2 linked regions of the Mus musculus genome follow. The protein of the gene in region 2 purifies or fractionates together with the protein of the main gene of each other region. This does not show direct contact. Links are inferred from orthologs where the notes say so. Each region holds a gene or a part of one and is shown on either strand. Other genes may lie near its edges.

Region 1 (3,651 bases), on a different chromosome or scaffold from region 2:
TACATCCTTATTCAAAGGCAGCAGCAGGAGACTCCTTCACAGGCAGCCAGGAGGAGGGCCTTTTCCATACCAGGTAGAGCCTGAGCATAGGAGGCCTCAAAACCCACCTCCATAGTGACACACTTTCTCTAACAAGGCCCCACCTCCTAATAATGCCACTTCCCATGGGCCAAGCATATTCAAACCACCACAGCATCTAAGATGTTTTAATGCACAGGCTACTACTGTGTAGTCCTGAGAAATGAAGACAAGAGTGTCTTTATTACCCTGAAAAATGCTGTGACTCTCCCACTTGTGGACACTGAACATTTAAGCCCTTCCATAATTCCAGCTCGACTGTAAGGTATTTCTACAGGATTCCAATAAGTTATCCAAGAAGCACTACTAGCTGACAAATTAGATCCTACTCCGTACTTCAAGAATACTTCTTATGTATCTAAATTTACAAAATGAACAACAACAACAACAAAAATCCACTAAAAATGGATTTCACCTTAAGGAACCAAACCAGGGAAATTGGAAAACTAAAAGTCAGAAAAACTTTCTCTCTCCACAAAGAATGTGAATCCTAGGCATGTATAAAATCTGCATAATATATTAGATTTCTAATGTAATTTGAATGTTACAAAAACAACTCTTGTTTAAATATAAATTTTTTGATGTTGGGTACATGTCAGTGGTGGTATTTAATAAGCATCTTTTCTCTTTTAGGTGATATTGGCAATTATTATTATGGCCAGGGTCATCCCATGAAGCCTCATAGAATCCGGATGACTCATAACTTGCTGCTAAATTATGGTTTATACCGAAAAATGGAAATATATGTAAGTACTAGTTGGCACTGTGTTTTTAAACTGGTATTTGAAAGCTCTTCTTAGGCTGCTGTGGGAGATGCATGTGGTAGATGAAAAGATCTGAACGAACACAGACAGGTCTTGTGGTTGTGTCCCTCAGAGAACGCTTAAGGAATTGGAGTAGTCCTCTCTTCCCTCTGATCATTTCAAACACCAAATATTTTTGTGACAATACTGTTAAGTTGCCTGTGCTGCTAGAAACAATTGTCCTGGGGTTGGTGAGATGACTTAATAGGTAGAGGTGCTTGCCACCAACTGGATGGCCTGTTTACCTTCCCCAGAACTCTCACAGTAGAAGGAGAGACCTAATTCCCCCAAATTGTTTTCTAATTCCACGTGGGCATGAGGACACACCTCCAATAATAAGTAACCACAGTGTAATTTTAAAAAGAAATAAAAGAGAATTGACCTGAATTATTGCAAGAGTTTGGTAGAAAATTAATCATAAATATTTATTTGGTTAACATACATATGAAATGTTGCCAATGATAACAAGGTAAGTAAAAAATGGTGTAAGATACACAGCCACCTAAAAAGTCTTCGAAACATGGGCAGGAGCATACATAAAAAGTGCAAGGTAGGATAAGGCTTAACTAACTACTCCAGGAGAAGAGGGCTAGACAGTGTTATAGGAAGCATTTCTTTAAGATACAGGTATTTTAGAGAAATGGGAAGACTTGTGGAAGAAGTCTGTGGTAAGTGAAGCTGAGCTCTTCAGAGCAGAAGTTAGAATAAACGAAGGCTAAGGGAGATCTCAAGCTGGTGTTCTTAGAAACCTTTGATGAAAGTCAGTGGGTAGACAGCAGCGAGGCTATGCTGGGAAAGAGCCTGAACAAACAGGAGTAGCCTCGCTTGGAGAGGGGCTGCCGGCTGCCTGCTGCCTGCCACAAATGTGTGCATTTGAATTAGCATTGTAACTTGCTACTCAGGTGGATCTGGTTCATTTAGAGAGACTGATCGTGGAAACTTACACATATCATTTGATAATTCTCATTTAACAACTGATACTTCCAACATCCTGGTGTTTTTCTTTTCAGAGGCCTCATAAAGCCACTGCTGAAGAAATGACTAAATACCACAGCGATGAGTATATCAAGTTTCTACGATCAATAAGACCAGATAATATGTCTGAGTACAGTAAGCAGATGCAGAGATGTACGTTATAAATAATTATTTTACTAGTGCTGAATGTAAATGAATCTTTTTAAAGTTTCTGATCAGAGTTGCCTCAATAGGTATTTTTCCTCATAATTTAAAATATTAATATAATTATTAATTCAGAAGGTCATTGAACCAATATTAATGTTACTTTAGAAAACAAACCTATTTAAATTTGTTCTTTTACTTTTTATTTTGCACCCATGAAAAGTTTGGGATTGGTAGGGAGATCACAGAGTTACAAGAGAAAAATATATTTCTTTCTTTTTTTTTTTTTTTAATAATTTTTTTGAGACAGGGTCTGACTTTGTAACCAGCTGTCCTGGAGATTGCTAATGCAGATCAGGCTGGCCTCAAACTCCCAGAGTTCCACCTGCTTCTCTCTTGCATTAACAATCCTCCATTTCACCTTCTGTGTACTCCAGTCACATTGTTCTGTAATGTAAAGATGTTGCCTTTTGTTGGCTTCTTTGTGTTTCTTTTTATTCTTCTACATGTTTTTGATTATAGGTGAAAGTGTATTGTTATTGGTAGTCAATTGTATTAACTGGTAGTCAAGTGTATTAAAGAAATATTGCCAAGTATCCTGAAACTGTGGGCTGCTGTCTTTTGAAGCTTAATACCGGAGCCCATTTCCTCAGTGAGAGGTGGATTTAGTTCAGTGATGACGAATGATAAGGATTTCTCAAGTTCACTGAACACCATATTTCCCTACCGTATGTTATCGCATTTGGTTGACTCAAGACTGGAATAGGACGGACGGATGCTATTACATCTATTGTTTTTTGGGTTTTTTATTTGGGATTTACACAGTAATGGGTAGCCAGCCCTTGGGTAAATGACAGGATTTGTTTAAACCATTATAGTGCTTGTTTATATTAAATTCTATTTGAGCATAAAAAACTAAAACTTTTTTTATAGTATCTGTAGGTCTGTAAAACCCCTGCCCTCTTGCTAACGTGTGATCTGAGAAGTGAAGAATGACTAGGGATGGGCCACACACACTTCTGTTGTGTTTTTTCCTCTCAGCACAGGGAGCCAACCATGTCATGACCAAGTGACATGTCATCTGTCTTATGTTCCATGAAACTGATTCATTCATGGCTGCTTCTGAAGTCAGTGTTAGCCACAGAAAAAAAACAAAGTAACTTAATATTTTGATACTCACTAAAACATGTTTCGGAGTCAGGGACACTGTGTGTGAGGGTCAGTAAGATGAGTTAGAAAGGGGTTGCAGCCACTTAATCTTTAACTCACTATCATATTTAAAGAGAAAACTAGATTTGTGCCTATTTTCATATAGGCTTTTGATTTATGTTGTTGGTGATGGTGGTGGTTGGGTAGAGTGACTTCACAAATTTCCTAATAAGATTTGGTAATGGAATTACATAGATAACAATTTAATTATCTTGTAAAATAAGCATTATATTATAAAATTATAACTTTTATAATACTACCTACATTGAAGTACTACTCCCTGTGAATTTTAAAATTCATAGGTAATATTTTAAAATTACAAATTTCACATTGCTACCATGAAATATTATATTATTACCTATGATTGCCTGAAACAAATATTTTTAATAGTTTATAAGAAAAAGCCTTCAATGACTTGATAATAGATTGACTTTAATGAAGT
Region 2 (3,751 bases):
AGAGTCACTGCTAACAGTGAGTGTGACGATGCAGAATGCAGGCACTGGTGCTGACAGACTTTCAGGTGCCATGGGTTAACTACAAAACCAAGTCCACATAAGCCGCTGCCTCTCTTGTGAAGAAGTTTACATCCCGGGGCTTGAAGGCAGGCCCCCTGCCCAGCACCAAGCAAGCCAAATCCTTTCCTGACACTAGAAGAATGAAAGCTAGTGTAAAGGTGCTGCCATGCAGTACAGACCTCAGGACATGTCTGCTTTCCATACCATGCCGGGAGGCCACACAGCTAGTAGGTCTCATGGACAGGGGGTCCTCAGCAGTACCCAGATCTAAGGATCAATGTCCACACAAGTTTCTTGCCAGGTTACCCTGTGGGCACTCACCAATGAAGTACAAAAGGCAGGTAGGAAATAGTGAGCTGCTGGAAGGACAGGAGTCTGTCCCACCTAGAACCCTGAAGGGGACACTAGACCTCTCTGAGCATGAGACTCATCTGGAAAAGGGCGAAACACAAGCTGAAACCTGCTACAGGTCCACAGGTGACAGAAGATAGAATAGCCAGAGAAGGACAGTGTATCACTGAGGTCCCACCAGGATTCCACAGGCCCCAGCCCACACTATGTACAACTAACATGGCACAGTGCCCTCAGACATCTGTGGAAGCCAGGCTGACACATACAGCAGGGCCATGCAGAGAAAGAGCAGCCTCAAACCACAGCTGCCACCCTAAATAGTAACAAGACAAGCAAACTCATAGAGTTCCGGAGAACAGTATGACCCCACACTACACCACAACGCTGTCCCTGAACTTGGCACATCCCACAGCTGTCACCCCATGTTGCAGATGAAACAGAGAGAACACACATATGAGCCCAGCCCATATTCACATCCTGCTATCATTCTTCCAGAGATCATGCTCCCCCGGGGTCTCAAAGATGTTAGTCCAACTCTATAATGGAGCCCCGATGTCCTGCATGCCAATCACACTGGGGTAAGCATCCTGTGTATCCCTGTTTATATTGGACACGTGCTCTGAATCTGGAAGTGACAAAGCAAAACACAGTAAGGGAACATACTACCCGGGGAATAAAACTGCTAGGTATCATCTTGCTGACACCCTGGCTCACTGGGTTCACTTTCCTAAATACTGGACAGCTAAACTCCTTCCCTTTTCCTTCCTACAAGGCAAATTTGTCCTAATCAATCAAAAGCTCAACACGACAAGGGACATAACCCTGGGCCAGGAAAGGTTTGACAGGCAAGGCTGTCCTGCTGATTTCTGGAAGGCAATGGGCTGGGCCTGCCCTCCCTACCCCATGGGAAATTTGGACTATAACCCTGCTGGTTTGGGTGCAGAGCCTCTTCCTACAAAAGTGTGTGTGTGTGTGTGTGTGTGTGTGTGTGTATACACATGAGCCTCCAGGGAGTTCAGCTCTGAAGAGGTGCAGTGTAGGGGAGGAGTACCCACCACCAGTCCAGGATGAAGGCAGGCCTGGAGGGCCTTACCCCGCCACACCCTGAAACAAACTGACAGGATCTGCAAAATGGCCTTGTGTGATAAGAGGTATAGTGGGCCATCACAGGGCGCCTCCCTTTTTCCCTCCTGCCTACAGTTCCTTATTTCCTGCTGGCAGCACACGCTGCGAGGATTCATCCCCTGCCAGCTTTCAGGCTATAAGGAAGAAGGCAGTGCCCTTGTGAGAACAGAGCTGGGGGTCAAGCCGTGTGGTCATTAAAGTGGAAGCGCCAAAGAGAGGGACACTGTAGGGCACTTGGACGGTGGGCAAAAGGCTCCTCCCTAATCCGAAACCTCTCGGCTGCCCCGCCCGAAGGTGGGGTCGTCTTCGCTGCGCGTGCGCCAGGCTACGCGGCCAGGGAACGCAGCCAAGGAAGGACTGCCCTCCACAGGCAGGACCCCTGTGGCTTAAGGACTTTCATAAATGAATAAAAAAAAACGTAAGTGGTCCAAATCCAGGTGCCAAGCTGAGCATCACTAAGTCGACCAGAGGGGTGATAGGCATGTAGGCCACCCATGTTCCCTCAGCGCCACCTCTAGAGACTACCCGCTCCCGGATCTGCCGACCCGAGGCCCATGCGGAATCCGCAGGCTCGTCACTCCGGGAACACCTAGGTCCCGGCTGGGTGTCCACGAGAAGGATCCTCGCGGGACCCCGGGCCAGGAAGACAGGCCCGGCTCGGTCACAGTCTGGGTCGCACCACCACAGGCCCCTTTGTCACCTGCGCGGGTCGCGAGCGGGCATCGGAAAATAGGGACGCGCACGCGCGTGCAGCAGTTCGCGCATGCGCATCACCCGTTGGCCTCCTGGGTTTCTCCCCCCCAACCAGGCGCGCGCGCAGCGAGCGCGCACGCGCACTCGCACACAAAGCCAGCGCCGCGCGCGCCCGGCCGCCCCGCCCCCGCCCCTCCACCCCCCGCCCGCAGCCGGAAATGCGCGCGCGCGGCCTTACCCAGCGGCAGGCCCTTGTTGAGCAAGTGGGAGCTGCCCATTGAAAGGTGCGGGTGGCCGCGGGCCCCGATGAGTCCGGCGCTCTCCGCCGCCGCGAGCCCTGCGCCTGGGGCGGCTTCGGCGCAGTCTGCTACTCCGCCCGGCCGCCTGCGCCCGGCCACCGCCGTGCCGAGCCGCCACCGCGCCGCCAGCCGCGCTCCGACCGACGAGCGGGCGGGGACACGCGGCGCGCGCGCGCGGGCGTGGCCTCGGTTGGTCTGCTGTTTGCAGGCAAGGCGGCGCGCTGGACGTACGCGGGCGGCTCAGGGGCCCAGCTGCCCGCCGGCCCGACGCTCGGCCCCCACCCCCAGCGCCCCTCCCAGGCTGGATTCCCTTCCTGGACACGCCCCCAGCTGTACCCGCCCCCGGCCTCCCCTCCCCTGCGCGTACCCCGGACTGCGCCCCTGCCACTCCTTGGCGCGGTGACCTGGGCCGGAGCCTGAGTGGTGAAGCAGCCCATCCGCGTGGGGCGCTACCAGTCTAGTCGCCGGGGCCTCAAGAGGACAGCGAGAGCGGTTCACTCGGCCCCTTGTGCGCTAGAGCTGGGGCCGCGGACCCAGGACCCAGGAGCTGGACAGCGCCCCAGCCAGGGAAAGTGATCTGTGCGCAGGGACAGATGCCCGCTGGCCACCCCAGAGTAAGCGACTGACTGTTGGTGGGACTGTCAGACAGGCGTAGCGAGGGATACCGCTTAGCTGTTAAAAAAAATAAAAATAAAAAAAAATAAAATAAAATAAAATAATAATAATAATTAATAATAATAATAATAATAACATCACGGGAACAGTCCAAACTGAAGGATGCTGAAGGCCATATGGTTACGAGTTTTGAAAATCAAATCTTTGAGAAAGGTGGGCAGTATCAATGAGGGATGACAAGGGCCTGGGCATCTGTTTACAGAAAAAATGCTTTGAAAATACCTTCCAATTCCATCTATTGGCAGACATGGATGGAGAAAAAGATCTAACAGGTGGAGTCTCAAACCTGCTACAGTATTTCCTAAATAGACTGAGGGCTAGGGGGGAAAGCCAGCAGATGTACACTTTCCCTTAATCCCCACCCCTATCCTGGACTGTCTCTCCTGGTCTGTTCCAGTTTTCTCGAGCTGCAGGTGACTCCCTACAGATCCATCCAAAGGGCTCCTCCCAGTTGTTCCATCCTAACATAGCAACTCCATGGCAGAGTGACACCTCCTATTCCTTCTCAGGCTGCCCAAATTCCCACTTTTTCTTGCACATTGTGACTA

The links. The genes of interacting proteins can lie anywhere in the genome.
Region 1: the proteins of Ctbp1 (region 2) and Hdac2 purify together in Homo sapiens (affinity purification with western blotting; 7 studies listed by BioGRID and IntAct, with this or other methods). This does not show direct contact. The link is inferred for Mus musculus from reciprocal best matches to the Homo sapiens genes CTBP1 and HDAC2.

The regions. Positions count from the first base shown.
Region 1 is NC_000076.6:36,984,416-36,988,066, forward strand, and holds part of Hdac2 (histone deacetylase 2), read left to right. Parts: intron 1-711; coding exon 712-824; intron 825-1,891; coding exon 1,892-2,009; intron 2,010-3,651. UniProt on the Homo sapiens protein: Histone deacetylase that catalyzes the deacetylation of lysine residues on the N-terminal part of the core histones (H2A, H2B, H3 and H4).
Region 2 is NC_000071.6:33,272,312-33,276,062, forward strand, and holds the start of Ctbp1 (C-terminal-binding protein 1), read right to left. Parts: upstream 2,694-3,751; 5' UTR 2,508-2,693; coding exon of another isoform or gene 2,468-2,507; intron 1-2,467. UniProt on the Homo sapiens protein: Corepressor targeting diverse transcription regulators such as GLIS2 or BCL6. Has dehydrogenase activity. Involved in controlling the equilibrium between tubular and stacked structures in the Golgi complex.